7 linked regions of the Oryctolagus cuniculus genome follow. The protein of the gene in region 1 interacts with the protein of each later gene in a pairwise test. Links are inferred from orthologs where the notes say so. Each region holds a gene or a part of one and is shown in the gene's direction. Other genes may lie near its edges.

The links.
Region 2: the proteins of NME7 (region 1) and NAB2 interact in binary tests that used the Homo sapiens proteins (3 or more experiments, as listed by UniProt). The two-hybrid records come from large-scale screens. The link is inferred for Oryctolagus cuniculus from reciprocal best matches to the Homo sapiens genes NME7 and NAB2.
Region 3: the proteins of NME7 (region 1) and FOSL1 interact in binary tests that used the Homo sapiens proteins (3 or more experiments, as listed by UniProt). The two-hybrid records come from large-scale screens. The link is inferred for Oryctolagus cuniculus from reciprocal best matches to the Homo sapiens genes NME7 and FOSL1.
Region 4: the proteins of NME7 (region 1) and NEFL interact in binary tests that used the Homo sapiens proteins (3 or more experiments, as listed by UniProt). The two-hybrid records come from large-scale screens. The link is inferred for Oryctolagus cuniculus from reciprocal best matches to the Homo sapiens genes NME7 and NEFL.
Region 5: the proteins of NME7 (region 1) and CFAP141 interact in binary tests that used the Homo sapiens proteins (3 or more experiments, as listed by UniProt). The two-hybrid records come from large-scale screens. The link is inferred for Oryctolagus cuniculus from reciprocal best matches to the Homo sapiens genes NME7 and CFAP141.
Region 6: the proteins of NME7 (region 1) and FKBP6 interact in binary tests that used the Homo sapiens proteins (3 or more experiments, as listed by UniProt). The two-hybrid records come from large-scale screens. The link is inferred for Oryctolagus cuniculus from reciprocal best matches to the Homo sapiens genes NME7 and FKBP6.
Region 7: the proteins of NME7 (region 1) and CCHCR1 interact in binary tests that used the Homo sapiens proteins (3 or more experiments, as listed by UniProt). The link is inferred for Oryctolagus cuniculus from reciprocal best matches to the Homo sapiens genes NME7 and CCHCR1.

Annotation. Positions count from the first base shown.
Region 1 is NC_091438.1:29,352,343-29,356,315, forward strand, and holds the start of NME7 (nucleoside diphosphate kinase homolog 7), read left to right. Parts: upstream 1-1,173; 5' UTR 1,174-1,327; coding exon 1,328-1,330; intron 1,331-3,973. UniProt on the Homo sapiens protein: Possesses an intrinsic kinase activity. Displays 3'-5' exonuclease activity with a preference for single-stranded DNA. Does not seem to have nucleoside diphosphate kinase activity.
Region 2 is NC_091442.1:59,719,723-59,723,650, forward strand, and holds the start of NAB2 (NGFI-A-binding protein 2), read left to right. Parts: upstream 1-1,128; 5' UTR 1,129-1,703; coding exon 1,704-1,786; intron 1,787-3,198; coding exon 3,199-3,928. UniProt on the Homo sapiens protein: Acts as a transcriptional repressor for zinc finger transcription factors EGR1 and EGR2. Isoform 2 lacks repression ability.
Region 3 is NC_091432.1:5,875,060-5,879,029, forward strand, and holds the start of FOSL1 (fos-related antigen 1), read left to right. Parts: upstream 1-1,170; coding exon 1,171-1,326; intron 1,327-3,292; coding exon 3,293-3,490; intron 3,491-3,970.
Region 4 is NC_091433.1:49,228,057-49,232,310, forward strand, and holds the start of NEFL (neurofilament light polypeptide), read left to right. Parts: upstream 1-1,454; 5' UTR 1,455-1,590; coding exon 1,591-2,637; intron 2,638-3,586; coding exon 3,587-3,711; intron 3,712-4,154; coding exon 4,155-4,254. UniProt on the Homo sapiens protein: Neurofilaments usually contain three intermediate filament proteins: NEFL, NEFM, and NEFH which are involved in the maintenance of neuronal caliber.
Region 5 is NC_091438.1:44,196,539-44,200,578, forward strand, and holds the start of CFAP141 (cilia- and flagella-associated protein 141), read left to right. Parts: upstream 1-1,240; 5' UTR 1,241-1,342; coding exon 1,343-1,456; intron 1,457-1,795; coding exon 1,796-1,836; intron 1,837-4,040. UniProt on the Homo sapiens protein: Microtubule inner protein (MIP) part of the dynein-decorated doublet microtubules (DMTs) in cilia axoneme, which is required for motile cilia beating.
Region 6 is NC_091450.1:50,639,309-50,643,608, reverse strand, and holds the start of FKBP6 (inactive peptidyl-prolyl cis-trans isomerase FKBP6), read left to right. Parts: upstream 1-1,500; 5' UTR 1,501-1,603; coding exon 1,604-1,660; exon of another isoform or gene 1,661-1,810; coding exon 1,811-1,952; exon of another isoform or gene 1,953-2,012; intron 2,013-2,298; coding exon 2,299-2,388; intron 2,389-3,165; coding exon 3,166-3,368; intron 3,369-4,164; coding exon 4,165-4,284; intron 4,285-4,300. UniProt on the Homo sapiens protein: Has an essential role in spermatogenesis. It is required to repress transposable elements and prevent their mobilization, which is essential for the germline integrity.
Region 7 is NC_091436.1:139,347,023-139,349,894, forward strand, and holds part of CCHCR1 (coiled-coil alpha-helical rod protein 1), read left to right. Parts: intron 1-2,534; coding exon 2,535-2,647; intron 2,648-2,801; coding exon 2,802-2,847; intron 2,848-2,872. UniProt on the Homo sapiens protein: May be a regulator of keratinocyte proliferation or differentiation.

The DNA of each region.
Region 1 (3,973 bases):
TCGAGTCCTAGCTGTTCCACTTCTGATCCAGCTCCCTGCTAGCGCGCCTGGAAGGCAGTGGACCCTGCACCCACGTGCGGGACCTAGAAGCATCTCCGGCTTTTGATGGCTCAGCTCATGCCGTTGAGGCTATCTGGGGAGCGAACTGGGGGATGGAAGATATTTCTCTCTCTAACTCTCTGTCACTAGGTCTGTCAAAAAAAAAAAAAAATTAAATGATGTTGCTTCTAACAACAGAGAGAAATACACATGGAACAGATACTTTCGGAAAGGTATGCACAACCTTAGAGTATACTCAGATTTACCGGAAAACATGCCAAGGAGGGTGGCACTCATGTGATGAACAGAACAGGTCACTCCCGGCTTCAAAAACGATCAGTGAGTCTAAGGCCTCCCAAGACAGGTTCCTCAACAGTCACAAACCCTCTTCCACTTATATTCCACGGCTCTAAAAACAGGCACCCGGCGTACCGAGTCCTGAAACCGCGCTTTGAAGACCGGCTGCGAAACGTACAGGAGCAGCCAGTCTGACGGCAAATACCCAGGATGCCCAGGAACCAAGGCTGCAGGCGTGGCTGTCCCGGGGATTCCAACGCCAAGTTTCGTTCCTGTCACAACAAGCCTCCCCGGTCCACTCTTTCTCTATACCCGACGCCACTGGCCACCGAGCTCCGACCGACGCGCGCGCCTCTCCAGCGTCACCTCGGAGTTACACAAGCCTATCGTCTAAGTTACCTCGGGATTCCTTTTCTATTTCGGCGGTTTCACGTTACAGGTTCCCGGATTCGCTCCTCGCCCATGCCGAAGCAGACCCGCCCAGGCCTTCCGGACAACCAGCCGCTGTGTCAGTCATGATCACTTCCGATTACCCAGGGTTTCACTTCCGGAATATTCTTCCCACAGAGGCGAGAACACACAGTCTGTGGTGCGTTTAAATTCAAGTAACGCAGACGATACAGCGTCTCGCCTCATCAATGGAAAGCTGGAGAGGGGTTTATTTCAAAATAAAATAGTGCGCTCTTTGGCGCCTAGCCGCGTGTTAACTTAAACTTCCGGGTCATCTGCCAACCAAACGGAAGTGAAAATGCTGGCAAGAGGCGGGAGGCGTCCTGTCGCCCCAGGAGACAGCGTGAAGGGGCGGATCTGTCAATGAGCTGGGCGTCACTGCGAGGACTCCCAGCCACTAGGGACGAAGGGGCTGACCGCTGACGTCTCCCGGGGTGTCCGGCAGGGGGCGGGGCCCTGTTGCCAGAGTAACCGGATGATGGTGTGGATGGCGGTGCCTTCCTGGGGCAACTCGGCTTCCTCGTGCTGAGATCCTGAAACTATGGTGAGTGCTAAGGCCGACCAGAAGAGCCGCTCCGGGTTCCTGGTTACGCAGCTTCGCAAGTGTTGGGTCGATGGGCCCTCGGAGGCGTCCGCAACCCTGTCTTCTCCCCATTCTCTCTCCCCCATTTGCCGTGGGCTGTCCCTGCATTCTCCCCATTCTGTTTCTTGCAGCGCCCTGAATTCCGCTCTAATATTACCGTAAGCCCTTAAAGTAAGGCAACAGAAAGTTTAGGGTTAAGACGCGGAGCCTCAGGTGAGATATTATTTCAAACCAGCCTCCTCTTTTGGGTATGCATTATTCATCAGTGCGTTTTTCAGGCTTGTGGACTTCACAGTAACGTTCCACCTAAAAGGCAGATGGTGGTGTGTAGGTGACTGTGGCAACACTGGCCCGAATCTCGCTAGGGCCTGGAGTCTGCCCCGCGGAGTGCCAGAGCACTGCCCCACACTCTGTAAAGGCCCCTTAATCATATTTGTAGAGTGGATCGGCTCGCTTGCATCCAGCTGACTACCTGCTATGTCCGTGCTGCTTAACAGGAATAACTTTCAGGATCACTTGAGAGCTTCTAGAATTCACTTGCTTGAGCTTCCCTCCTAAATTTTTGCATGAATAGGGATGAGGCTCCATGTTTCCATTTTCAATAAGCCTATAAGTGATTTTGCTGTCTTTCTGCCTGGTTTCTCCTGTTTTTCACCATGTTATTTAATGATACCACTGTATTATAACTGAAACTAGAAATCAGTGACATCCTACATTCCCCTTTCTCTGACATTTCCCATATTCAATTGGTCATTATTTTTGTTTAGAATTTCCTCATTTTTACGTTAGCTATTATATTCATTTCTTTTACAGTCTGGTCTGGCAATTTTCTAATCTATCGTTTTTTCTGCCACAAGGAAGAAGTTACTAAGTTCCCATCTGTTAATGCTACTCACCTCTTTGAAAGTCTAGACTTCCGTTTCCTACAGTAAAGTTTGGAATGGCACACAAGAGGCCCTCCACAAGCTAGCACTTACCTTTCTAGCTTCTTTCTTGGCTGTCCCTTTCCTGGATACTCCTTTTAGCCGTTTGCCTTTTAGCTACTTACTACTGAACATAGCAGACAACTTCAAACTGGCAGTATGTCTCTTCCCTCTGCTTGGCACATGGTACTGCTTCTGCCCTTTTCCCTTTTCTTGCATATGAAACTCCTATTGATCCTTCCAAGACTCAGCTTAAGTGTCTCTCTTTCTGTCATGGCTTTTCCTACACTCCACAAGAGGTAACTGTTTATTCTTTCTTGTCACCACTGTATATAGTACACATTTCTTTTATTGTAGATACCACCTTTACTTGAAATTATTTGTTTATAGCTTTGTCACCCTTCCTAAACTGTGAACTGTTAGAGGTATAGATGTTTACTATGTTCACTGCTATTGCTTAGAGCATATTTGGCACTCAAATGTTTGCTGAATGCATAAGAGAAGAGGAAAGAATGAGGTAAGTGGTCTGAACGAGAAGGAGATTGCAGGACAGAGTCCTCACTTCTCAGCTAGAGCATCGTTAAAGCCGTCATGTGGCAAATGGTAGAGAATATCAGTGCTTAGAATTCAATGACCTGTGCAGTGGCATAGGGAGCTGAAAAGTGACATTCATTAAATACTGTTTATTTTTCCTGTCTGCTACTTTTTGCTTTGTTTGCTGTTTTCACTCAGAGTTTCCGGCAATGCTAAGAGCAAACAGCAGTAAAGTGCTCTGCCTGCCTTCTTTGTTCCCATCCTGGCTGGGGTTTCATGGTTGGTGATTCTTTCAATTAGATGGTCAGTGAAGGCCCTTCTGAAGAAAGGACTTTTGGTATTGAGACCTAAATGATACAAAACGTGCTGATCTGGATCTTCAGGGTGCACTAACAAGATCACAGTTCCTGAGGCAGAAAGGGGCAAGCATAAATTTGAGCAACTTATGGTTTAATAGAGTACAAAAATAGAAACTGGGTTGTGAGGTGGTGCAGGGTTAGCTGCTTTGGGAGGTACATGGGGCAGAATAACATGAGATACAGTCTGTATGCAGATGCCAGACTGTCTGTTGTCTGTCTGTCTAGCTATATATCATCTACTTGGCGAGGCTTATGTTTCTCAAACTGTTGGAGGTGACCTATTATTCTGTCATGAAGTAGATTTGTGGTGTGTAGCCAGCATTAACAAAGAAGACTAACATAGAAACTTACCACATCTACTGCATGCCGTGAGGGTAGCTTTCATGAACTTTTGTTTTAAATTGTATATATTTTGTGAATGTACTGGGTTATGACATAAAACATATTACTGTGAGTCATGATCCACAAAGTTCAAGATACTATATACTTAGAGCAACATATACTTTAAAAGGCAAAGCAGTTAAAATCAGAAGCATACAGATTTGTCTTTTCATCTAATGACAGTGTTCTTAATGTGTGGCAAAGAAAGGAATTTAACAAGAGGCGAAAATTGGCTAGAGTGAAATGATCACATTTCTTTCTGTATCCAGCATCTCTCCTATGCTGTTGGATGTCAGTCCTTCATCAGGAAGGGTGGAGAGCAATCAACCGTGCTCCGTCTAGCCTCTGGTGTCTGTATGGCTGTGAAGATGGGGTCTCTCCATCAGCAACTGAGGATGGTGGCTGTC
Region 2 (3,928 bases), on another chromosome or scaffold:
TTCCCGCCGCCCCCACCGCGTCTGGAGCTTCCTGGGATGGAGAAGACAATCTGAACTACTGAAATCCCGCCACCAACAAGGCCACCCCTCCTTCCCTGCCCCCACCAGAGACAGCAAGGTCCCCTGGCCAGGCCGGAATGTAGAACCAGCCCCGGCCCACGCCACCCACCCCCCGGCTTGGCCACTCAGAAGCGCGGAATGGCGGGGCGGGGCTGAGGCTTCGCACCAGGAGTACCCTCGCCTTCGGCCAGTCTGCTCGCTTCCCGCCGCCCCCACCTCAGTTCCCCTGGGCTTAGAGCCGCTGGGCCAGGCCCTCGGAGCCCCCGCCTGCACACCTCCCCCCCTCCCCACCACCCTCCGAGCCGTGGGCGGGAGAGAAATGGGAACCAGATGGGCTAGGAGAAACCCAGGGGGAGGTGGGCTGCGGAGGGGGCTCGGCCCCGGGGAAGGCGCCCCTCCGGCCGCAGCCAGACACTTCGGGAGCACCCGGTCTCTGCTCGCCGCCCGGACTCATAGGTGTCCCAGAACGGTATCCTTATCCTACCTGGGACACACAGCGGCCGAGGAGCAGGGCCCCGTCCTGGTGCAATGGGCGGCGGCGAGCAGAGGAAAGCGGGGCGCACCCTCCCCCCCCCCCCCGCCGCCGCCGCCCCTGCTGGCCGGACTAACCAACCTGGCGCGGCAGAGCCGCGCACGCCGAATTGGTGGCTTCTAGCATGGCCCGCCCATCCCTGTTTAAAACTTCAGCAACGACCCGAGGCCGGCAGAGATGGAGGCGGCCCGGGTCTCCGAGAGCGGCCCCTTCCAATCTTTTCGTTTGAGGGCAGGGGAAGGGCTGGGATACCCAAGGGATCCTATAGCGCAAGACTGCTGGAGGAGAGGCACGCGCTGGAGGAGCCGCGCGCCCTGAGCCCTTCGCCAACTTTCGCCGGCTGGCTCTCCGCATCCGCACGTACGGCAGCGCGAGGCCTGCGTGCGGGTAGCGGGCGTCCGCGCGGTTGTTGAGGCGCGTGTGCAGTCCTTGCGCTTCCCCGTGTCTTTGTGTACCTGTGCGTGGTTGTGCAACTCCTCTCTCCTCTCGGAGAGGTAGGGGTGGCGGGGGGGTGGGGGGGAGTAGGAATGTCGCCGGCGGGGCGCTCACGTGGGTACGTGGGTGCGGAGAGGGCCGGCTGTGCATCCGGCGTGGGCGGCATGGAGCGACCTCGCCCCGCCCGCCGGGCCCCCAAGCCCGCCCTCCGCAGCCCGGCCTCGGTCACCTCGGTCCCCAACTCGGCTCCCCGGCTCCGAGTTCCCGCCCCCGCCTCCCGCTCCACACCCCCTCCCCCCCAGTCTCCGCCTTTCTCTGTCTCTCCGCCGCGGCGTCTCGGAGACCGAGAGGCCCGGGCGCCCGCCCCCCGCCCCCGGCCCCAGCCCCCGGCTCTGCCCACGCCCTCCGCCCGCCAGCCCGGCAGCCAGCGCAGCGCGGGGCCTCGCTCCCCGTGCGTCCTGCGGGGGTGGAGGCGCTGAGAGGCGGCGAGAGCAGCCGGGGAGGGGGGGTAGAGGCACAGACTGAGGCGCGGAGGCTCGGAGAGAGAGGACGTGGAGGGAGGGACGGAGCCTGGACAGCGGTGGACACGGCATCGCGCGCAGGGAAGAGCGCAGCGCGCAGCAGGCGCCGAGCGCCGGGCATCCGGAGGGGCAGCCTGGGTGGTCTCCGGCCGTCCATGCACAGAGCGCCCTCCCCCACAGCTGAGCAGCCGCCGGGCGGAGGGGACAGCGCCCGCCGGACCCCGCAGCCCAGACTCAAGTTAGTGGGCAGAGGGAGACAGCGGGGAGTGGAGATGGGTGGAGCTGGACTGGGAGTGGGGTCCGGAGGGCGGAGGTCGCGGCGAGGACGTGGGGAACCGGGACGGGGGTGGGAGGTGGAGACTGATGAAAAAAGGGGGTGCGTCTTCGAATGAAGGGACCCTGGGAGCAGCCGAGGATCCGCTGCAACTTGATGTGAAAGAGCGGCACCTGATTCTCCATTCCCAGTTTATTCGGTGGGCCTGAACTGGCGTGTGAGCCCCCTGTAAAGACTGTGGGAGTCCGCAAGTGCCAGGAGAAGCCCAAGGACTGGAGTTGGCAACAGTACCCGGTGGGGCGCATTCAGCCGGCTCAGTCTGCAGCTGGCGCCGAGCGCTGCCCCCCCCCCGGGGGGGGTCCCGCACACGTCGGCGCCTTTCAGTTACGGGAATAGCAGCAAAGCCCTGAGCAGCCAGGGGGTGCCTTCGGCGTCCTTTGCCCCTGCTGCCCCTTCGTTCACAGCGTGAAGAGGGGCGTCTGGGTGTGCAGCCGCTCCCCCACTCCACTTGAAAGTGTGGGTGGAAATTAAGGGAGGCGAGAGTAGGCGGGAGCCCCTAGGCGGGGTTCGCCCACAGACGCTACCGCTGTGGGAGTGTGTGTGGGCGGATTGGCCCCAGAGCAGAACAATCGAGCTCCCCTCCCCTCCCCCACCGTCTGAGCTGAAGGGACAGAGGGGAGTGAGTGGGGAAGGTCACTGCTTGGAGAGGGGCCAGCGGGGCGCGAGGGGAGGTTACTGGGCAGCATGGGAGGGCGGAGGGGGCGGGGTGGAGAGCTAAGGTGCATCAGGAGTGCCTGATCCCTGGGCTAGCTGAGGGGCACAGGAGCAGGGGTCAGCCTGGCTCCTAGTGGGAAGACCAGGGAAGGGGACACACCCCTCCCTCCCAGCCACCCTGGTAGAATGCCCCCAAGGGAGTGCAGGTGGCTCGCAGTGGTCCCCAGTGTCCACTGTGGGAAGGATGAGTGGGACATTCCCCTTAGTGTGTGATGTCACTTGTGTTGAGGTGTTTAGGGTGGAAGGTGAGGGCCAAGTGTTTTGGGGGAGAGAGGGAGGGCCAGCCATCCCAGGGGTGTGCCTAAGGTCTTCTTACCCCTGCCAGAAAGGGCAAAGCTGAGGATGGGGTGGGGGTGGGGGCGGTGAGCCTTTGACTCCCGCCAACAAGGCCCTGGCTTTGGGTGCTTCTGGCTAGTGTGGGATGTAGTGGCATGTCAATGCCTCCGAGTAGTGCCCAAGTCTCAGAGTCTGTGCTCAGTGCTGGGCGCTGCTGGGCAGAGGGAGAGAAGAAACCGACGGAGAGAGAGAACAATTGTTAGTGTGGGTTGGTACCCAGCCGGGGGCCTTGCACTCACTGTTTCTCTCACGCCCCTCCTTCTCAGGCCCAGTGCCCGAGCCATGGCACTGCCTCGGACGCTGGGGGAGCTGCAGCTGTACCGGGTCCTGCAGCGGGCCAATCTCCTCTCCTACTATGAGACGTTCATCCAGCAGGGAGGGGACGACGTGCAGCAGCTGTGTGAGGCCGGCGAGGAGGAGTTCCTGGAGATCATGGCACTTGTGGGCATGGCCACCAAGCCCCTCCACGTGCGGCGCCTGCAGAAGGCACTGAGAGAGTGGGCCACCAATCCAGGGCTCTTCAGCCAGCCGGTGCCTGCCGTGCCTGTCTCCAGCATCCCGCTCTTCAAGATCTCCGAGACTGCGGGTACCCGGAAGGGCAGCATGAGCAATGGACACAGCAGCCCAGGAGAGAAGGCGGGCGGTGCCCGCAGTTTCAGCCCCAAGAGCCCCCTTGAACTTGGAGAGAAGCTGTCGCCACTGCCGGGGGGTCCTGGAACGGGGGACCCCCGGATCTGGCCGGGCCGGAGCACTCCAGAATCAGACGTTGGGGCGGGAGGGGAAGAAGAGGCTGGCTCACCTCCCTTCTCCCCACCTGCAGGGGGAGGAGTCCCTGAGGGGACTGGGGCCGTGGGTCTGGCAGCGGGTGGGACTGGGGGGAGTCCAGACCGCCTAGAGCCAGAGATGGTGCGCATGGTGGTGGAGAGCGTGGAGAGGATCTTCCGGAGCTTCCCCAGGGGGGACACCGGGGAGGTCACGTCGCTGCTGAAGCTGAAT
Region 3 (3,970 bases), on another chromosome or scaffold:
CCGCGAGAGACGCCCACTGCCTGCGGGGGCTCTGGATCCACACTTGTGGTCGCTCCTGCGGTCGCCCCAAATAATACATTTTGTCTGTGGACCGGTCACAGCGCTAGCTGCTTTGCGGGGGGGGGGGAGTTAAGATACCCCACCACTTCGGCGGGGCCTGTCATTTACCCCCTGGAGCCTAGGGACAGCAGCGGCAGAGGAGCATCACGTGGCCTCCAGCAAATCGTGAGAGCCAGAATTAGGTACCACGTGTGGTTTTTTTTTCTTTTTCTTTTTTTTTCTCATCCATTTGGCGGCTTCCAGCGGGTCCACGTTCTTCATCCCAGCCTCCCCGGCGTGGCAAGGTTGCTACGCGTCGGCTTCGTTCTATTTCGCCGAGGCCGGCCCAGGTCGAGCGGGTTCGCAGGCTCCCGGCAGGTGCGTAAGTCCGCGGGGGAATCCTCGGCCGCACCTGGGCGCGGCGAGGAAACCGCACCATGTATGGGCAGCTACGTCAGAGGGGCGGCCCCGGCGCGGCGGCTGCTCGGGGGACGCCTCGGCGGCCCCTTCCCCCCGGAACGGTGGGCGGTGTCGAGGCGCCCAGGGCGCCCAGGCACGGGGCGGCGCGTCCGGAGAGGTGGAGCCCCGCGGGGACCCGCGCCGCCGCGCACGCCCCGCCCCCCGCGGTCCCGGCGGCTCAGCCCCACAACTTTTCATTCATAAAACGAAGACTCCGCGAGGTGCGCGTGAGTCAGAACGCAAGCCTCCGACGCGGACCGCGCGGAGCAGCCGCCAGCCCAGGGCATGTACCGAGACTTCGGGGAACCCGGACCGAGCTCCGGGGCCGGCGGCGCGTACGGAGGCCCCCCGCAGCCCCCCGCCGCGGCGCAGGCGGCGGCCCCGCAGGTGAGAGGGAGGCACACCGGGGTCCCTGGGGACAGGGCGGGGGGACGGCGCCTGGGACCCCGGAGGCAGTCCCCGCGCGCCCCGCTGTGGAAGCGGCGAAGCCTGGGGCCGGGACCGCGGGTTCTGCCCATTCTCCGCAGTCCGGGGGCCAGCTGCCCCCAGAACCCAGAGGGACGCGCGCCCGCCCCCTCGTTCCCTGCCGCCGGCTCTTCCCTCCCGGGAACCTTCTTTCTTACCTGCGGTCCACTGCTCATTTGTGCGTCCCGCCCGCCTCGGAAGGGACGTATGACGTCCGGGCTATGTCCCAGCCCCGGGCGGTCAGCAGACGTCTCCCCCTTGGCATCCCGCGCCTGGGATACGTCGGGAACCCCTGGACGCAGCAGGAAGGCGGGATCTGTCGGTGACCTCCTGTGTGTCCGCCCCCGTCTACCGCGACGTCAGGTTCCAGCCCCCTCCTCTGCGCGGTGCAGCCGGGCTCCGGGGCGGTGGGACCCTCTGGGCTCCCGGTGGCCGGCTGTCCACCCCGTGGCGGAAGGACTCAGACAGAGACTGGGCCAGGTGCCGGGGCGGACGCCAGGGACAGCTCGCGCGCCCCTGCCCTCGGCACCGAACGGCGCCCACTGCAGGCTGGGGGCACTTGGGGAGCTGCAGGTGCCCATTTCCTGTCGAGGGGCGGCGAGCACGTGTCGCCAGGGGAGGGAAGGCGCGGCGTCCGTTCCGCCGAGTCACGGCGGCCGAGTCACGGCGGCTGAGTCACCCGCGGCGCCCCTCCCTTCCTGGCCCCGAGTGGCCCGGGCCCGGACAAACTCCGGAGCTGGGGACGCCGCCGGCAGTGCCGCGGGCCCGGAACTGGGGTCGCTGGGCCGCTGGGCTCGCACTGCGAGGACTTGCCTGGGCTTGCGGGGCGCTTCCCGGCCGACCAGGCGCCCACACCCAGGGCCCGTCCGGAGGGCTGGAACCCAGTTTTTCCAGAACAAGGCGCCCCCATCCCAGCCCAGTCCTCAGATTTCTGGTAGAAAGAGAAGGGTCCCAGTTAGCACTGGAAGCACTGACAGCCATGCCAGCCTTGTGCTGGGCGCTGGGCACTGGGCACCTCCGTTACCGTATTTCGTGGAATCTAAGACCCCGTGGAGTAAAAGATCCACAATTATTTGGTGTCACTAAGTTGTTTAAGTTGGTGTGTCTGATTTCAGAGCTTATTAGATGGTACTTCCTTTTTTTTTTTTTTTTTTTTTTTTGGACAGGCAGAGTGGACAGTGAGAAAGAGAGAGAGAGAAAGGTCTTCCTTTCGCCGTTGGTTCACCCTCCAATGGCTGCCGCGGCCAGCGCGCTGCGGCCGGCGCACCGCGCTGATCCAATGGCAGGAGCCAGGTACTTATCCTGGTCTCCCATGGGGTGCAGGGCCCAAGTACTTGGGCCATCCTCCACTGCACTCCCTGGCCACAGCAGAGAGCTGGCCTGGAAGAGGGGCAACCGGGACAGAATCCGGCGCCCCGACCAGGACTAGAACCCGGTGTGCCGGCGCCGCAAGGTGGAGGATTAGCCTAGTGAGCCGCGACGCCGGCTTGGTACTTCCTTTTTTTTTTTTTTTTTTTTTTTTTTTTTTTTTTTTTAAGAAAATTATTTACTTGAAAGAGAGTTATAGAGAGGCAGAGACAAAGAGGTCTTCCATCTGCTGGTTCACTCCCCAAATGGCCACAACACCCAGAGCTGAGCTGATCTGAAGCCAGGAGCTTCCTCTGGGTCTCCCACATGGGTGCAGGGGCCCAGGCACTTGGGCCATCTTCCACTGCTTTCCCAGGTGAGCAGCCGGAACCGGCACCGGCACCCGTATGGGATGCTGGCACTGCAGGCAGGGACTTTACCCACTATGTCCACAACCACAACGCCGGCTGCTAGACTTCTTAGCATCAATGAAATGCTGCGATCCTCCTCTGTGATAACAGCAAAATGGGAAACTGAGGCACACGGGGATGAAATAGCTCGCTGAGTCCCCTGTCAGTGGCTGAGCAGAGCTGAGCAGTGTCTCCCCCGTTCCCTCGCCCCATTCTCGCAGCCACCGCAGGCGCTCCGGGGCTGTCCTTGTCCCCCCAGGGGGATGGGTACAGGAGGGGCCGAGAGCCCAGCTTCTGCAAATGGAGCCCCTGCTGTGCCAAGCACATGGGTCAGTGTTTGTGGCCAGGAAGGTGTCTGGCAGTGAGCAGAGAGGTTGTGTGCCCTGCCCACAGTCACACAGCTCGTGAGCAGGGATTTGCCACCCATCAGTGTCTCTGGCTGCCAAGCCGGGCTCCTTCTGGTCTCCCAGAACCGGCATCTGCACGGAGGGTGGACGGCGGGAGAGTCTCTCTGCTCGGACCTCCTTGAGCCACGCAGACCTCACCCTGGCCCTCCGTTCCTTCTCCCCCAGAAGTTCCACCTCGTGCCCAGCATCAACGCTGTGAGTGGCAGCCAGGAGGTGCAGTGGATGGTGCAGCCTCACTTCCTGGGGCCCGGCAGTTACGCCAGGCCTCTGGCCTACCCCCAGTACAGCCCCCCACAGCCCAGGCCAGGAGTCATCCAGGCTCTGGGGCCGCCTCCAGGAGCACGTCGCCGGCCCAGCGAACAGGTGAGGGGCGCTGGTTCTGGGTGCCCAGGCATGCCAGTGTGCCAAAGGCATGCTCTGGCCACAGCGGAGAGCATGGGCTCAGACCGGCCGGGGAAGGAAGGGCCACTGCCGGGGAGGAGGTGATGGGCGCTGCTGGGGAGGCCCGCAGGGCAAAAAAGGTCACCTCTGCACCAGGGAAAGCTTCCTGGAGGAGGCGGCGCAGGGTTGCACGTGCTGAGATGAAGGGAGGGACAGTCCAGGCACAGGGGCTGGCAGGAGCCAAAGGGGAGGGGGGGAAGGCGAGAGGGTCTCCATGGGCTGCCGTGCACGGAGAGGGTGGGCTTAGGCAGTGCAGCTGCAGCAGCAGTGGGAGGGGTCCCTTCAGTTCCTCCCTGGATCTGTTTCCCGTCTCATTTAACTCGGACATGGACCCTCTGCCTCCTGCGTGTCTGCCTCTCCTCATCCCTTAGCCAAGAAGTGCAGGCACGGAGGTGTCCGGCA
Region 4 (4,254 bases), on another chromosome or scaffold:
GTGCAGTGCCTCTGGAAGCAACTGTGGTACCACTCAGGGAAAGCATATCACAGGCAAAGAGATTCTGATTTCTCCATTTGGAAAGTTTGCTTCTGTAAAAAAAAAAAAAATCAAGTTGATGTCAAATGCTGTCATGCAAATAAAACAAAAGCTAAGAGCATGCTTAGAAAAACCTTAGGGATTTTATGTAAATCTCTGCAATTCTCCCCATGAACCCGTAGAACTCCAAACAACCCCTGTGGAAAGGCGTATCCACGTGCTGTAAGGCGTGCACATTGTTTCAGGTATCCGGGTGCTTTCCATAAGAAACCCATAGATTTCTGACTGCCTTTCTAATCTACCTAACATAGCGACCCGACGGAGGAATCACGCGGCTGCTTTGGCTGCAAGCTCCAGGAGTTCTCTCCGGAGACCACACCCGACGCCTGAGGCTGGCCGCCGCAGCTTCCCTATGAAAATCAGCCACCTGCATGGCCTTTCGAAATCATCAGGTTGGGTGTTACACAGGTGTACAAAGCGGGCAAGGGGGCTTTTAATAGGAGGGAGTCGGTAGTGTCAAGTCCACGAAGCAGGGATTTAGCTCGGGGAAGTTCCAGCCAGGCAGCCTGAAGTCAGTTGCCCGCCGTAGAGCGAGCCGCCGCCTAGCAAGCGGGTCTTCTCCTTGGTAGCGTCACTCTTCCTCTGCTTCCCTCCGTCTACCCGCGTCGTCAACACACCGAAAGCCTCCAAGGCTTTCTTCCCCACAAAGAAGAAAATTTAGGAAGCCAGAGGCAGTGCCCTACAGCTTTAGAAATGATAAAAGGTAACACCTGCAATGCACGCCGCAATCGCGCACGTGTGTAGGTAGGGGGGCAGAACCCTGTGGGCTGAGAAGCAGCCCACCAACTCCGGGGGTCAGGGGGCCCAGGAGAAAGGTAGATTAATTAAAGAAAGTGCCAGAAAAACTGCAAAGAAACGCGAAACTTTCCTCGCTAAATGCCGCATACGTGCAACCACAGCCTATTCTCCTCTCAAACCACTAGCGACACTGCACCGTCGCCATAAACACTAAGTGGGGAAGAGGGGTGATCAAAGAGGTCCCTGGTGGGAAGCGGTGGGCTGCGGGCCAGGGTCTCCGAGAGGTACCGGGTTATGGAAAACTAAGTTGTCAGTGGGCGGCGAGAACCAATGGCTGGGGATACTTGAGCATCTGAGTGATACGTGGGTCCCGGGGTAAGCAGGCTGCGGCTGGCTGGGTGGGAAAGGACAGGACACAGGTGCGGGGATATAGGGTCTCAGAGAACAGAAAGGGCCTCAGAGAAAAGTGCAAAGGAGAAGAGCCGCAGCTCAGCGGCCCCGCGCCGCCGCCCCCGCCCTCCGTTTTGCGCAGAATCCTCCCCTTGGCTGCAGCAGCGCGCTGCCCCCACTGGCCGGCGCGCCGGGATCGATCGCAGGCTGCGTCAGAAGCCTCGCGGCGTATAAATAGGGGTGGCAGGACGGCGCCGAGCCGCACACAGCCATCCATCCTCTCCTTTCCCTCTCTCCCCCGTCCTTCTTTCTCTCTCCAGGCCCCATCTCCGGCCGCGGGCCAGAGGGGCACCGGCCGCCACCATGAGTTCGTTCAGCTACGAGCCGTACTACTCGACCTCCTACAAGCGGCGCTACGTGGAGACGCCCCGGGTGCACATCTCCAGCGTGCGCAGCGGCTACAGCACCGCGCGCTCCGCTTACTCCAGCTACTCGGCACCGGTCTCCTCCTCGCTGTCCGTGCGCCGCAGCTACTCCTCCAGCTCCGGCTCCTTGATGCCCAGCCTGGAAAACCTCGACCTGAGCCAGGTAGCCGCCATCAGCAACGACCTCAAGTCGATCCGCACGCAGGAGAAGGCGCAGCTGCAGGACCTGAACGACCGCTTCGCTAGCTTCATCGAGCGCGTGCACGAGCTGGAGCAGCAGAACAAGGTCCTGGAAGCCGAGCTGCTGGTGCTGCGCCAGAAGCACTCGGAGCCGTCCCGCTTCCGGGCGCTGTACGAGCAGGAGATCCGCGACCTGCGCCTGGCTGCCGAAGACGCCACCAACGAGAAGCAGGCGCTCCAGGGCGAGCGCGAAGGGCTGGAGGAGACCCTTCGCAACCTGCAGGCGCGCTATGAGGAAGAGGTGCTGAGCCGGGAGGACGCCGAAGGCAGGCTGATGGAGGCGCGCAAAGGCGCTGACGAGGCGGCACTCGCTCGCGCTGAGCTGGAGAAGCGCATCGACAGCCTGATGGACGAAATCGCCTTTCTGAAGAAAGTGCACGAAGAGGAGATCGCCGAGCTGCAGGCGCAGATCCAGTACGCTCAGATCTCCGTGGAGATGGACGTGTCCTCCAAGCCCGACCTCTCCGCCGCCCTCAAGGACATCCGTGCACAGTACGAGAAGCTGGCCGCCAAGAACATGCAGAACGCCGAAGAGTGGTTCAAGAGCCGCTTCACCGTGCTGACCGAGAGCGCCGCCAAGAACACCGACGCCGTGCGCGCAGCCAAGGACGAGGTGTCCGAGAGCCGCCGCCTGCTCAAGGCCAAGACCCTGGAGATCGAAGCATGCCGGGGCATGAACGAAGCGCTGGAGAAGCAGCTGCAGGAGCTGGAAGACAAGCAGAACGCCGACATCAGTGCTATGCAGGTGCGGCCTGGTGCGAAACACGGCGGGGGCGGGGACCTGCAGAATGCGGGGGTCGGGGCAGGGGGAGAGTTGAAGCTGCGCCCAAAAAGTGGAGACCAGGGCTGGTAGGGGTCGCACTGTGCTCCCAGGGGACGGTGTGGGAGGGGCGGGGCCCTTGGGTGGGGCGGGGCCGCTACTGCAGTCTGGGTGTGTGAGTGGTGCAGTGGAGTCTGAGTTCCGCATTGAAGCTGCCCAGCGTGGGAGGGGTCAGGCGGGGGCGGGGGAGAGGTGGGAGTAGGGCGTTGCCCTGGCCTGCAGGGATGTCGGGCCATCTACCTACCTGCATTCACCTGAAGTTACTTTGCAACACCAGTGGGATCACCTGGTTAATAACCATAGCGAGTAAGTCTTAATTAGTCCCGAAAGGTTACTGTGGCCAGTATATTTTATGACTGGTTAAGTACCAGCTACTCCTCCCCTTAGCAGGTGGACAGGAACCCAGACAGATTTGTCTTGGGTAACTAGCTGGGGAGCAGAAATATAGGAAATATTTTAGAGAAAGTATAAGCAATTTAGCTACTTCCTTCTCTTATGAAGAAATGGATGAATTTTCTGGATTGTGACCTGGCTAAAGTGGAGTTAACCCATAAATGAGAATCCAGCCTTTTCTGTCAAGTTAGTTTCCATGCAGGCATATTCTGATGCTCCTTAGATTGTACTAGTTGAGGATATTGTCTTAAAGGAATGTTCTTTCTTTAGTTTTTTTTTTTTCTTCTCATGCTTCATGAAGCTGGATATTTTAGGCGAGAAATATTTTCAAAAAAGAGTGAGCAGCTGTTTTAGGGGAGATTTTTATTAAAGGTGTGCCCCTCGACTCTAACTGAAACTGAGTGTTTGTAACTGAGCTACAGTAAAATGATAGCAGTAGGAATTGATGCTTAGATTTTCTTCTTTTTCTGTCTTCCAACAGGACACGATCAACAAACTAGAAAATGAATTGAGAACCACAAAGAGTGAAATGGCACGATACCTAAAAGAATACCAAGACCTCCTCAATGTGAAGATGGCTTTGGATATTGAGATTGCAGCTTACAGGTAACAACAGAAGGGCAAAGGTAGTAGCCAGAAAGCCTTGGAAGAAAATCAGATGCCATTTAGATCATGTTGAACCAGAAGCCTTCTGCAATAGCCCTCTGAAATGAGATATTATTATGATTAGTTTGCTTCTTCGAAGGAGCAAGTGTTTAGACAAATATCAAAGAACTTTACCCTGTAATATTAAGTCCTGTTTTTAGCTTCTCATTACACTTAAAATCTAATAGAACTATTTAACGTACTTTATTCTGTATCCCCCCACCCCCAGTCTCATTCATAAAATTCCTAGCCATTGGATATTGGTAATTCCCAGCCCTCTCTTGTTTGCATTTGCCTGTAGGATGGCATTGGGAGAACAGATGAGAGGTGGGCTTAGAGCAAGTCATTAAATACACTTCCTAGGTTGTTTTAATTTTAACCCTACCCTCTGTTGGTCTCCCCAGAAAACTCTTGGAAGGTGAGGAGACCCGACTGAGTTTCACCAGTGTGGGCAGCATAACAAGTGGCTACTCCCAGAGCTCCCAGGTCTTCGGCCGGTCTGCC
Region 5 (4,040 bases), about 15 Mb from region 1:
TAAACCAGGATTAACAGCTTTCCTGACAAGACTCATCCTATCCACTAGGCAGTTGTGGTGTAGCAGGTAAGGCTGCTGCCAGTGATGCCAGCATCCCGTATGGGTGGCGGTTCAAGTCACTGCTAGTGTACTTCCAATCCAGCTTCCTGGTGGTGGCTTGGAAGAGGACTGGAAGATGGCCCTGGTGTTTGGGACCCTGTACCCATATGTAAGAAGTGGGTGAAGCTCCTGGCTCCTGGCTTCAGCCTGGCCATTGAGGCTATCTGAAGGTTGAACCAGCAGATAAAAGATCTCTCTCCCTCTAACTCAAATTTTTTAAAAATATGCTGTGAAAAAAATTTTCTGACACCTGCCATAATTTACTCCAGGCTATGTGTGTGAAGAAATGGTTTTCCCAATGCACTGATATGATTTTATACAATAACTTCAATAAGATGAATTACTAAAAATATACATGGTGAAACAGGTTAAGCCTCTGCTTGCTACGCTGGCATCCTATATGGATGCTGGTTCAAGTCCCTGCTGCTCCACTTCAGTCCCGTTTCCCTGCTAATATGCCTGAAAATGGCAGAAGAATGCCCAAGTACTTGGGCCCTTGCACCCACATGGGAGACCTGGAAGAAGCTCCTGGCTCCTGGCTTCAATCTGTCCCCACCCTAGCTGTTGCAGCCATCTGGAGAGTAAACCAGTGGATGGAAGATATTTCTCTCTCCCCTTCTCTCTCTAACTTTGCCTTTCAAATAAAATCTTATATGTGTGTGTATATATATATATATCTATATAAATATGTATGTGTATATATATTTAAAAGTGGGCATTTACTCCCTAAGTGCCCACAATGGCCAGACTGAAGCCAGGAGTCTGGAACTCGTTCCAAGTCTCCCACATGGGTGACAAGGACTCAACCACTCAAGCCATCACCTGCTGCTTCCCAGGGTCTGCATCAGCAAGAGGCTGCGATCAGGGAGGGAGCCAGAACTTGAACCCAGGTACTCTCATGTGGAACGAGGGCATCTTAACTGCTAGACCAAGTGCTCACATGGAATAGTCTTTAAAAATGGGTATACGATATGTTCTCTGCACCTTCCTGATAAGGTATGAACATTTGCCTATAGAGAACTGTTGGGGCTCTGTATACCTTGGACCTAGGACTATACAGGTAAGTTGAGAAGCCCAACAAAAGAAATCCTGAAATAGGGACAGTGGCACTTGCTCACAGAGCTGCCTGTGTCATTAATAAAAGGCTAAAACCCAGGATTACCTTCGGGTCTCCAGGCCAACAGGCTGGGTGACCAATCCACTGGCAGGCTCAGGGACATTGTTGGGAGGCAGAAATGTTGCTATGACTACTGAAACCTCGGTGACAGCTAAACAGAAAGGAGAGCCTACTCAGTCTAAGACTGAATCAAACAAGTCTGCAGACATGTCCATGGAAAAGATGATGAAGACAGAAGAGGTACGTGCAGTTGGGCGAGGGGCTGGGCTGAAAGTATGTTAATTAGGTTTCCAGGCCAATTGCCCAGAAGTGCACCATTTACTGGGAAAGGCCCTTGATGTCACAGAAGGATGAAGTTACTAACAGGAGTGGAAGACTGTCCAGCATTTAGTAGGTATTCAAATAGGTGAATACCCCAGCCCCTGCATGTGAAGGTGGAGAGCTTGCTTTCTCCTTCCCCTACAATCTGACCACTGCCTGTCTCCGAGGAGGAAGGCCTGTGTGTCTCCCACTGCAAGAGGGTACTGAGGCTGAGGTTCTGGAGATCACGGCAGGTCAGCACAACTTCTTTTCTTGCAGAATTTTCAAAGGTTCACGGACTTTAAGAAGATGGTTGACAGGTAATTCTATGTCCTCCCCTTCTCCGACCCTTCGGCTTTGCCCCCTCCCAACTCTGCTTCATCATGTCAGGGTCTCATCAAGGAATATGAGGAGGGGAAGCAGCCTTGTGCTCAAAGCAAATAGAGATCAGCCTCCTAGTGGCCACTCGGCTAGTCCACCAGACTGTACGGTTTTATTTCCCCCTGTTTTCCTCCCTCTTGACGGGACACAGGGGCAAGCCGATGTTTGCTTTACTTTATTGGAAAAGTATTTATTGGGGCCAGTATTGTGCCAATCATGTGGCAGACCTGAATGGAGTTCCAGGCTCCTGGCTTCCACCTGGCCCAGTCCTAGCTGTTGTGGCCATTTAAGGAGTGAACCAGTGGATGGAAGATCTCTGTCTCTTCCTCTCTCTCTACCTTTCAAATGAATAAATAAATCTTTTTTTTTTTTCAATGAAGCTAGGGTGAAAATCGAAAGAAGCCATGTTTTTTTTCATTTGACAGATAGTTAGAGAGACAGAGAGAAAGGTCTTCCTTCCGTTGGTTCACCCCCTAAATGGCTGCTACGGCCGGAGCTATGCAGATCCAAAGCCAGGGGCTAGGTGCTTCCTCCTGGTCTCCCATGCGGGTACAGGGCCCAAGCACTTGGGCCATCCTCTACTGCCTTCCTGGGCCACAGCAGAGAACTGGACTGGAAGAGGAACAACTGGGACAGAATCCGGCGCCCATATGGGATGCCGGCGCTGCAGGCAGAGGATTAGCCAAGTGAGCCAAGGCGCCAGCCCTAAAAAAATCTATTTTTAAAAAATGTTTTAAATAAGTTTATAAAAATGTACTTATTGTGGCCACCATTGTGGTGTAGCAGGTTAAGCCGCTGCTTGTGACACCAGCATCTTATATCAAACACGAGTTCAAGCCTTGGCTAGTCCACGTCCACGTTCAATCTGCTTCCTGCTAATGTGCCAGGGAAGGCCGCAGATGGCCCAAGTACTCCCAGTGAGAGACAAGGATGAAGTTTGGCCTGGCCCAGTCCTAGCCGTTGTGATCATTTGGAGACTGAACCAGCAGATGGAAGATCTCTCTCTCTCTCTGTCTCTCTGCCTATTGAGTAAATATTTTTTAAAAAATGGTTTATTTGAGCCACGGCACCGTGGCTCACTAGGCTAATCCTCCGCCTTGCGGCGCCGGCACACCGGGTTCTAGTCCCGGTCGGGGCGCTGGATTCTGTCCCGGTTGCCCCTCTTCCAGGCCAGCTCTCTGCTGTGGCCCAGGAGTGCAGTGGAGGATGGCCCAAGTGCTTGGGCCCTGCACCCCATGGGACACCAGGATAAGTACCTGACTCCTGCCATCGGATCAGCGCGGTGCGCTGGCCGCAGCGCGCTGGCCGTGGCGGCCATTGGAGGGTGAACCAACAGCAAAAGGAAGACCTTTCTCTCTGTCTCTCTCTCTCTCACTGTCCACTCTGCCTGTCAAAAAAAAAAAAAAAAATTTATTTGAGAGTCATGGAGACAGAGACAAACAGAGCTTCATTCTCTCGTTCACTCCCCAGGTGCTAGCCACAGCCAGGAGCCAGGAACTCAATCCAAGTCTCCCACATGTGTAGTGGGAGCGCAATTATCTGAGCCACCACTCAATTATCTGAGCCACCACTGCTGCCTCCCAGGATCCACATTAGCGGGAAGCTGAAACCCAGAGTGGAGCCAAGACTCAAATCCAGGCACTCCAATATGGCCTGCAGGCATCCCCACCAGTGTCTTTTTTTTTTTTTTTTTTTTTTTTTTGATAGGCAGAGTGGACAGTGAGAGAGAGAGACAGAGAGAAAGGTCTTCCATTTGCCGTTGGTTCACCCTCCAATGGCTGCCCCGGCCGGCGCGCTGCGGCCGGCGCACCACTCTGATCCAAAGGCAGGAGCCAGGTGCTTCTCCTGGTCTCCCATGGGGTGCAGGGCCCAAGCACTTGAGCCATCCTCCACTGCACTCCCTGGCCACAGCAGAGAGCTGGCCTGGAAGAGGGGCAACCGGGACAGAATCCAGCGCCCCGACCAGGACTAGAACCCAGTGTGCCGGCGCCGCAGGCGGAGGATTAGCCTATTGAGCCACGGCGCCGGCCCGTCCCACTTATTTTTAAGGAAAAGTCAAGTTTCTTGCCCAGCTTTCTACTAATTTTTTGTTAGTTATTGCAGTATTTATTTGTTGAAAACATGAATGAGGAGACTCAAAAGA
Region 6 (4,300 bases), on another chromosome or scaffold:
CCTCCAGTAGCGCCCACGAATGCTGGCTTTCCCTGTCAACCCCTCCAGTCTCATGTCCTGAGGTTTCAATGTCAGGCATTGAACAGAGAGGATAGAGGTTCAGTAAGAGGCCGCCCTGCCCCCCCCCCACAGGAATCACACTTCAAGGGGCCGGCATTGTGCGGTAGCAGGTACAACTGCACCTGCGATGCCAGCATCCCATATGGGTGCTAGCTCATGTCCCAGCTGCCTTGCTTCTAATCCAGCTCCCAGCTGATGGCCCAAGTGCTTGGGACCCAGCACTGGCCACTGTGGCCATCTGAGGAGTAAACCAGCAGATGGGAGATCTCTCTCTTTCTGTCTCTCCCTCTCTCTGTAACTCTGCCTCTCAAATAAATATATAAATCTTAAAATAAATAAATAAATAGTGTGGCCTCTTTATTTATAGATAAATAAAAAGGTGACAGCCAACAGGGAGACGGGGACCTGCAGGGAGCTGGATTCTCCCCAGAGTGTCCAGTCCATCGGCAGCCTTGCTGCCACTCTGATTCTAGGCTGGGGAGAACAGCACTGGACTTCTACTAAAGCAGGTGTAGTTTCCTGCAGAGCTCCGTGCTACTCTGTTGCAACAGTGATAAAAACTCAGAAAGCAAAAGAAAAAAAAAAGTAGTTAAAGGTCGGAGTGATCAAGTGTACCCACTGTTGGGGCCCGCCTTGTGGCAGAGTGGGTAAAGCTGCTGCCTGAGATGCTGGCACGGGCCTCGGTGTGAGTCCTGGCTGCTCCACTTCCGATCCAGCTCGCTGCTAATGGCCTGGGAAAAGCACCAGATGACCCAAGTGCCTGGGCCCGGGCACCCACGTGCGAATCCCAGCACAGCCCCAGCCACCGTGGTAGCCATCTGGGGAGTGAACCAGTGGATGGAAGACCTCTCTGTAGCTCTGCCTTTCAAATACAACAACAAAAGAGAGGGGGGAGGCTTTAAGGCAAGCAGAAGCCGCAGGAAATGAACCCGAAGTCAAGACAAGAGACAGACCCGGGGAACAGCCAGGAGCCAATCAAGAGCCCTCCTTAATCCCAAGGGGCAGGTGCAGCAGGTTCTTATTTAGCAAGCTGGGGTACCTCGCCTCTCCTCCCAGGGCCCGGCGGCTTGACGCCCAAAGTCCTCTCCTGGACCCAGCGGCCCCCGAAAGGCAACAGAGCAGGGAAGCAGCACGCGCCCCTGCCAGCCTGCTCCAGCCCCCGGCCACGCCTCCGTCCGGTTCCCGGCGCCCTCCCCACGCCCTCCACCACACGCTCCACGTCTCACTGGCCACGGCCTGCGCCCCAGCACGCGCCCCAGGCCACAGGCTCTGCCGGCCCTTGTCACCTGCGCTCCGCCGCCCTCGGCGCGCACGTCCCCGGTGCGCGCTCCTTGCCCCCTCACGAAGGTGTATGTGCTCCCGTCATCACGCTCTGCGTGGCCCCAGTCACGTGTCCCCCACTCCATCAGCCCTAGCACGCACCCCATCCGCCACTGCGGGCCGACGCACATGCGCACACCGCGGTCACGTGCCCGCGGCGTTCCAGCCCCAGGCACGTGCTCCCCGCGCGTGCGACAGCGCGAGCGGCGGTTGCAGCAACGGCATGAGCGGCTTCGCGCGGCCCCGGAACGGCATGGCGCCGTCGGGAGAGGACTGCTTGGTATAAATGGGGGCGGTGGGGCAGGGCCCGGCAGGCTCGTGGCGGGGGTGGGGGTGGGGGCTGTAAGGTCGTGGGGTGCGGTCCGCCGAGGGCCTGGGGCTCGCAGCGGGGCTGGAGCCCTGAGGCCCGCCGTCTTGCGGTCTCCGGCAGTCCGTGTACCAGCGGTTGAGTCAGCGGATGCTGGACATCTCCGGGGACCGCGGCGTGCTCAAGGACGTCATCCGGGAGGGCGTCGGGGAGCTGGTGACGCCCGACGCGTCGGTGCTCGGTACCACGGGGACCAGGCCCCCGCGTGAGCCCTCTGGGGTGGGCGCGGGGGCGGGGGCCGCGCTCACAAGGCGCGTGCGCGACGGCTGTGTTTGCCTTTGCGATAGGGGGAGAGGGAGGGCCTAACCCCCCCCCCCACGAAACCTCCCGGAAGGGACCCCCTGGACCCCCCTCACGGGAAGGGACTCCCCCCGGGAGGGACCCCCCTCCCCTGCCTCCCATCCCCCCCCACTGCCCATCCCCCATCTCCCTTTTGTCAGAGCCCATGAGGGGCCCCGCTGTGTGGGAGAAGGAGCAGGTGTCTCTGCTGGGGGCTCCCTTACATTTTCATTCTTTCTTTTTTTTTTTTTTCCTCCCCTTCTGGGTCCCAGTCAAATATTCTGGCTACCTGGAGCACATGGACAAACCCTTCGATTCCAATTGCTTTAGGAAGTCTCCACGGCTCATGAAACTTGGAGAGGGTAAATGCCCCCCCGGGGGGGCGGCCGGGGGTCGGGGTGGGGGTCCCACCGCCCAGTGCTTTGAGGCTGGAGTGTGGTCAGGCAGTCACACTCTTCCCCCCTCCCCTCCGTGTTTGCCTTTGAAACCTGGGTGTCTGAGAGATGGCCTGCCTGGCAAGGTTGCCTGTGGGCTTCTGTGTCCTGTTTATCAAGTGGACGTCTTGCAGACATACTTGGGAGGAGAGAAAACTACTCGAGATCGCAGCTTTTTTTTTTTTTTTAAAGACTTGTTTATTTATTTGAGAGGGAGAGACAGAGAGAGGTCATAGATCTGTCGGTTCACTCCCCAAGCTGGGCCGATCCGAAGCCAGGAGCCAGGAGCAGCTGCTGGGTCTCCCACGTGGGTGCAGGGGCCCAAGCACTTGGGCCATCTTCTGCTGCTTTCCCAGGCCATTAGCTGGGAGCTGGATTGGAAGTGGAACAGCTGGGACTCGAACCAGTGCCTGTGTGGGATGCCAGCTCCGCGGGTGGAGGCTTAGCCCACTGATGCAACAGCACCAGGCCCACGATCCGCAGCTGCTTTCCTACTAAGGACTTCACCAGGTGGTGGAAACTGACCCATGGTCAGGCGACCCCTGGGGGAGAGTCAGATGAGGGCCTAGGAGTTAGCAGCCTTGCAGGTGTGCTTAGCAAAGCCGCACCTCGCACGGGGAACCTTTTTTCTGCCAGAGGCCATTTGGCTATTCACAGCCTCACTCCCTGGCCGCAGGAAATTCTCCACTTGGGCATCTCTTGCAGACATTACGCTGTGGGGCATGGAGCTGGGCCTCCTGAGCATGCGCAGAGGAGAGCTGGCCAGGTTCCTGTTCACGCCCACCTACGCCTACGGGGCGCTGGGCTGCCCGCCCCTCATCCCCCCCAACACCACCGTCCTGTTCGAGATCGAGCTGCTGGACTTCCTGGACTCGGCCGAGTCGGACACGTTCTGCGCCCTGTCTGCGGTAAGTGGCTGTGGGTGCTGGGCGGCTCCCTGCAGGCTTGGCCCAGGCCCCGCACCTCCGCTTCCTGGTGCCCGCCGTCGGCTCTGGGGCAGCACCTTGGGCTCACAGCCACCCTTGGCCTTGTCGCCACGAGACATCGTCAGCAGTAAGCGTGGCGTCTCAGCAAGGACATCTGTAACTGTCCTGTCTGGGGCTTGTGACTGAAAGGGGCTGGTAACCGACTGGGATACCTGGGCCAGCGGGTGGAGACCGGGCCGGGCCCGGCAAGCCAGGGTACACAGTCACTGTGCCTCACAGCCTGACACTCAGCCCCGTGCCTCGCTCTGGGCCTGCCAAGCCCATCAGCAGTCGTGGGCGCTGGCTTCGGCACGATAGTGCATCTTACTCTGGCACATCCGGGTTCCACCGCTGGTGCCCGACTTAGGGTCTCCGGGCCGGGTCCGGGACCGGGAGCCCTGTGGGTGATTCTGATACGTAGCCAGGGCTGCGCTGCGTGACCATGCAGGCTACCAGGGCTCTGGGCATGGCAGCGCCATTCGCTGCTTGTTGGCTGCATCGAGGCCGGGAGCCCTGATCCCTGTGCTTGGTGGGTTCCCCCAGCTCCTAGCTCCAGGGCAAGTGCTGCTTCGGAGAACAGGGTGGGAGGGCTCCAGCTGTGGATTGGCCTCGGCCCCACCCCGCGAGGGGCCTCTGCACACACGGGAAGTGGTTGACAGCTTGTCATATAAGAGAGCCAACCCCTCGGGGCAGGATGGTTTTTGGGGTCCACTGCTGGTTATTCTTATCTGGTCTCCAGGAGCAGCAAGACCAGTTTCCACTTCAGAAGGTCCTAAAAGTGGCAGCCACGGAGCGGGAGTTTGGCAACTACCTTTTCCGCCAGAATCGTTTCTGTGATGCCAAAGCACGATACAAGCGGGTAAGGGTGCTGGGGA
Region 7 (2,872 bases), on another chromosome or scaffold:
TAATCCATGTAATGCTACATGCCTGCTGCTAGATCTCGCATCTGCAATGCCGTGCCCGGTCCCTTCTTTTTTTTATTCTTAAAGAGTTATTTACCCATTTGAAGGTCAAAGCTACACAGAGAGAGGAGAGGCAGAGAGAGAGAGAGAGGGAGGAAGGGAGAGAGAGAGGTCTTCCATCCTCTGGTTCATTCCCCCAATTGGCTGTAACAGTCGGAGCTGTGCCGATCTGAAGCCAGGAGTCAAGAGCTTCTTCTGGGTTTCCCACGTGGGTGTAGGGGCCCAAGGACTTGGGCCATCTTCTACTGCTTTCCCAGGCCACAGCAGAGAGCTGGATTGGAAGTGGAGCAGCTGGACTTGAACCGGCGCCCATATGGGATGCTGGCACTGCAGGCAGTGGCCTCACTTGCTGTGCCACAGCGCCAGCCCCGGCCCGGTACCTTCTAAGGCAGTTGCAGCCCGTGTCCCTCATGCCGACTTGGTAGTCATGGCCTTGCTGAGGCTGTCATAGAGCCTTGGGAAAGAGCTGCTTCGTGCTAGTAGCGGCCTCCCCAGGCACCGGGGTCCTTGGGATGGGCGGTAGGCGGTCCGTGTGGAGCCCTTGGTGCGGTGCTGGTGTGTAGTTTGTGCTCTGACTGTCCACGGTCCTCACAGGGCTGTCCTGGATGCATCAGGGGAGTTCTGGGGGTCAGCAGGATGGGCCTTTGCAGCCACGGCCTTCTCTTGGATTCACTCCTTGGGAACCCATTGGCTTGAACAAACTGGGAGCCATTTGCAACCTGCTCCGCACCGGCCTGGGTATGCGAGCCAGCACCCAGATTCCGCCCGTTGCAGCTGCGCCTGCCTCCAGGAGAGCAGAAAGACAGGCCGGGGGCAGGGTTTCCTGTGGTGCCCAGGGGTCAGGCAGGGTTCTCGCTGAGTTCTTGCCAGAAAGCACCAACTTTGGGATGTTACCAGGTTGGCGACACAGTCCCTAGGTGACTCAATGGCTGTGTCAGAAGATGGATCTTAAAGTTTTTCTTAAATTTATTTTTTATTTGAAAACCAGAGAAACTGAAAGAGAGAGAGAAAGATAGCTCTTCTGTCTACCAGTTCACTTTCCAAATGCCCACAGCAGCTGGGGCTTAGCCTGGCCTAAGCCAGGAACCCAGAACTTGATGTGGGACTCCCACGTGGGTGGCAGGGACCCAAGTACCAGAGTTGTCACCTGCTGCGGCCTCCCATGGGGTGCACTGGCAGGAAGCAGAAGTTGGAAGTGAAGCTGGGACCTGAACTCATGTGCGATGCAGACGTCCCGAGAGGCGGCCGTGTTGTTGACCTCTGCTCCTCACACCCACCCCTGGAAGTGGCTTTAGAGCCACGGCCTGTGCTGGGCGCTCCCACCGAAAGGGTTCCTCGCTGTACTTGCTGTGGTCACCGCTTGTTTTTCCGTCTCCGAGGAAGCTCCAGGCCTGCCCCCGTTTTCCCCTTGGGCCTCCTCCCAGGGCTCCCAGCTGAAGCCCCTCAGTTTTCATGGGCCGTGCTGGTTCTGCTTCTGGGCCAGCAGCTGATGCCACTCACAGACCTGCCCTTCACGTGTCAGGGAAACCACACTCCTGGGCTTGTTCGAGAGCTGCGCAGCAGTGATCCAAGACCAGGTGGTGAGAAATCAGCTTTAGGGCCGGCGCTGTGGCGTAGCGGGTAAAGCCACGGCCCAGGAAAGCAGTAGACGATGGCCCAAGTGCTTAGGCCCCTTCACCCATGTGGGAACCCTAGAAGAGGCTCCTGGCTTCGGATCAGCCCTGTGGATGGAACCAGTGGATGGAAGAGTTCTCCCTGTATGTCTCTCCCTCTATTTCTGTAACTCTGCCTTTCAAATAAATAAGTAAATCTTAAAAAAAGAAAAAGAAAAGAAGCCCCGAGTTTGCCTGAAAAGATAAGGCAGTCGTCTGAGGCCTTCTTGAGGGGCAGGGGCTCCTTAGACATGGAAGCTTCGGGCCGTGTTCTTCCACCACAGACGTGGCGCGGCGTCCAGCGCCAGGAATCCCAGGCCCTGGAGACGGCCTCGTGGCCTGCAGGGGAGCGAGTGGCCATCAGGCAGAGACCAGGCCCTGCGGCGTTGTTGTCACTGAGCCCTTTACAGCCTGGGGCGCCCGGGGCCAGATGGGGCTCCTTGCACCTTGCTGTGTTGATTGCAGGGCTTTTATTGGGGACACTGGTTCTCAGGATCCAAATGAGAAGTTTACTCTGCATGGGTTGTGGGACCAGGAATAGCTGTGCTTTTTAAAATATTTTTATAAGCAACCAGATCGTATTTCTGTGACAGTCGCTAAAAGGCTAAAGCTCCTCCCAGGTTTTGTTTTAGCAGCTGCAGCATAGGGCATGAGGTTGGGGCACACGTGCCCCAGGTCCTACCCCTAGCCTCTCTTGTTTCCCTTCCCTGCTTCCCCCCACCCCCACCTGTGCGACAGTGCAGGATGGGGGGAGGGGTCTGTGCAGGCCCCAGGCCCTGTGGGGGTGAGGTGCGGGTCAGCGGTCAGCGGCCTGTGCTCCTCCAGCTCCCAGGTCTGCCTCCAGAGCACCATGGCTAAGGTGGAGCAGGCGGTGGCCCGGCTGCCCAGCCTCAGTAACCGACTCAGCTATGCCGTCCGCAAGGTCCACACTGTCCGCAGTGAGTTGGGGGTGGTGGTGGGCTCTGAGCTGCATCCTGGCCCAGCCCTCTGATCCCTCGGCCACTTCCTCCTCCTGCTCACCAGCCCACACGTTTCTGCTTCCCGGACTCCCCTTGCAAACTCAACCTGTCGCTTTCCATCTTTTCTCTCCAGGTCTCATGGCTCGAAAACTGGCCCTTGCACAGCTGCACCTGGAGAGGTAAAGTGTGGGCAGTGTGTGTGTG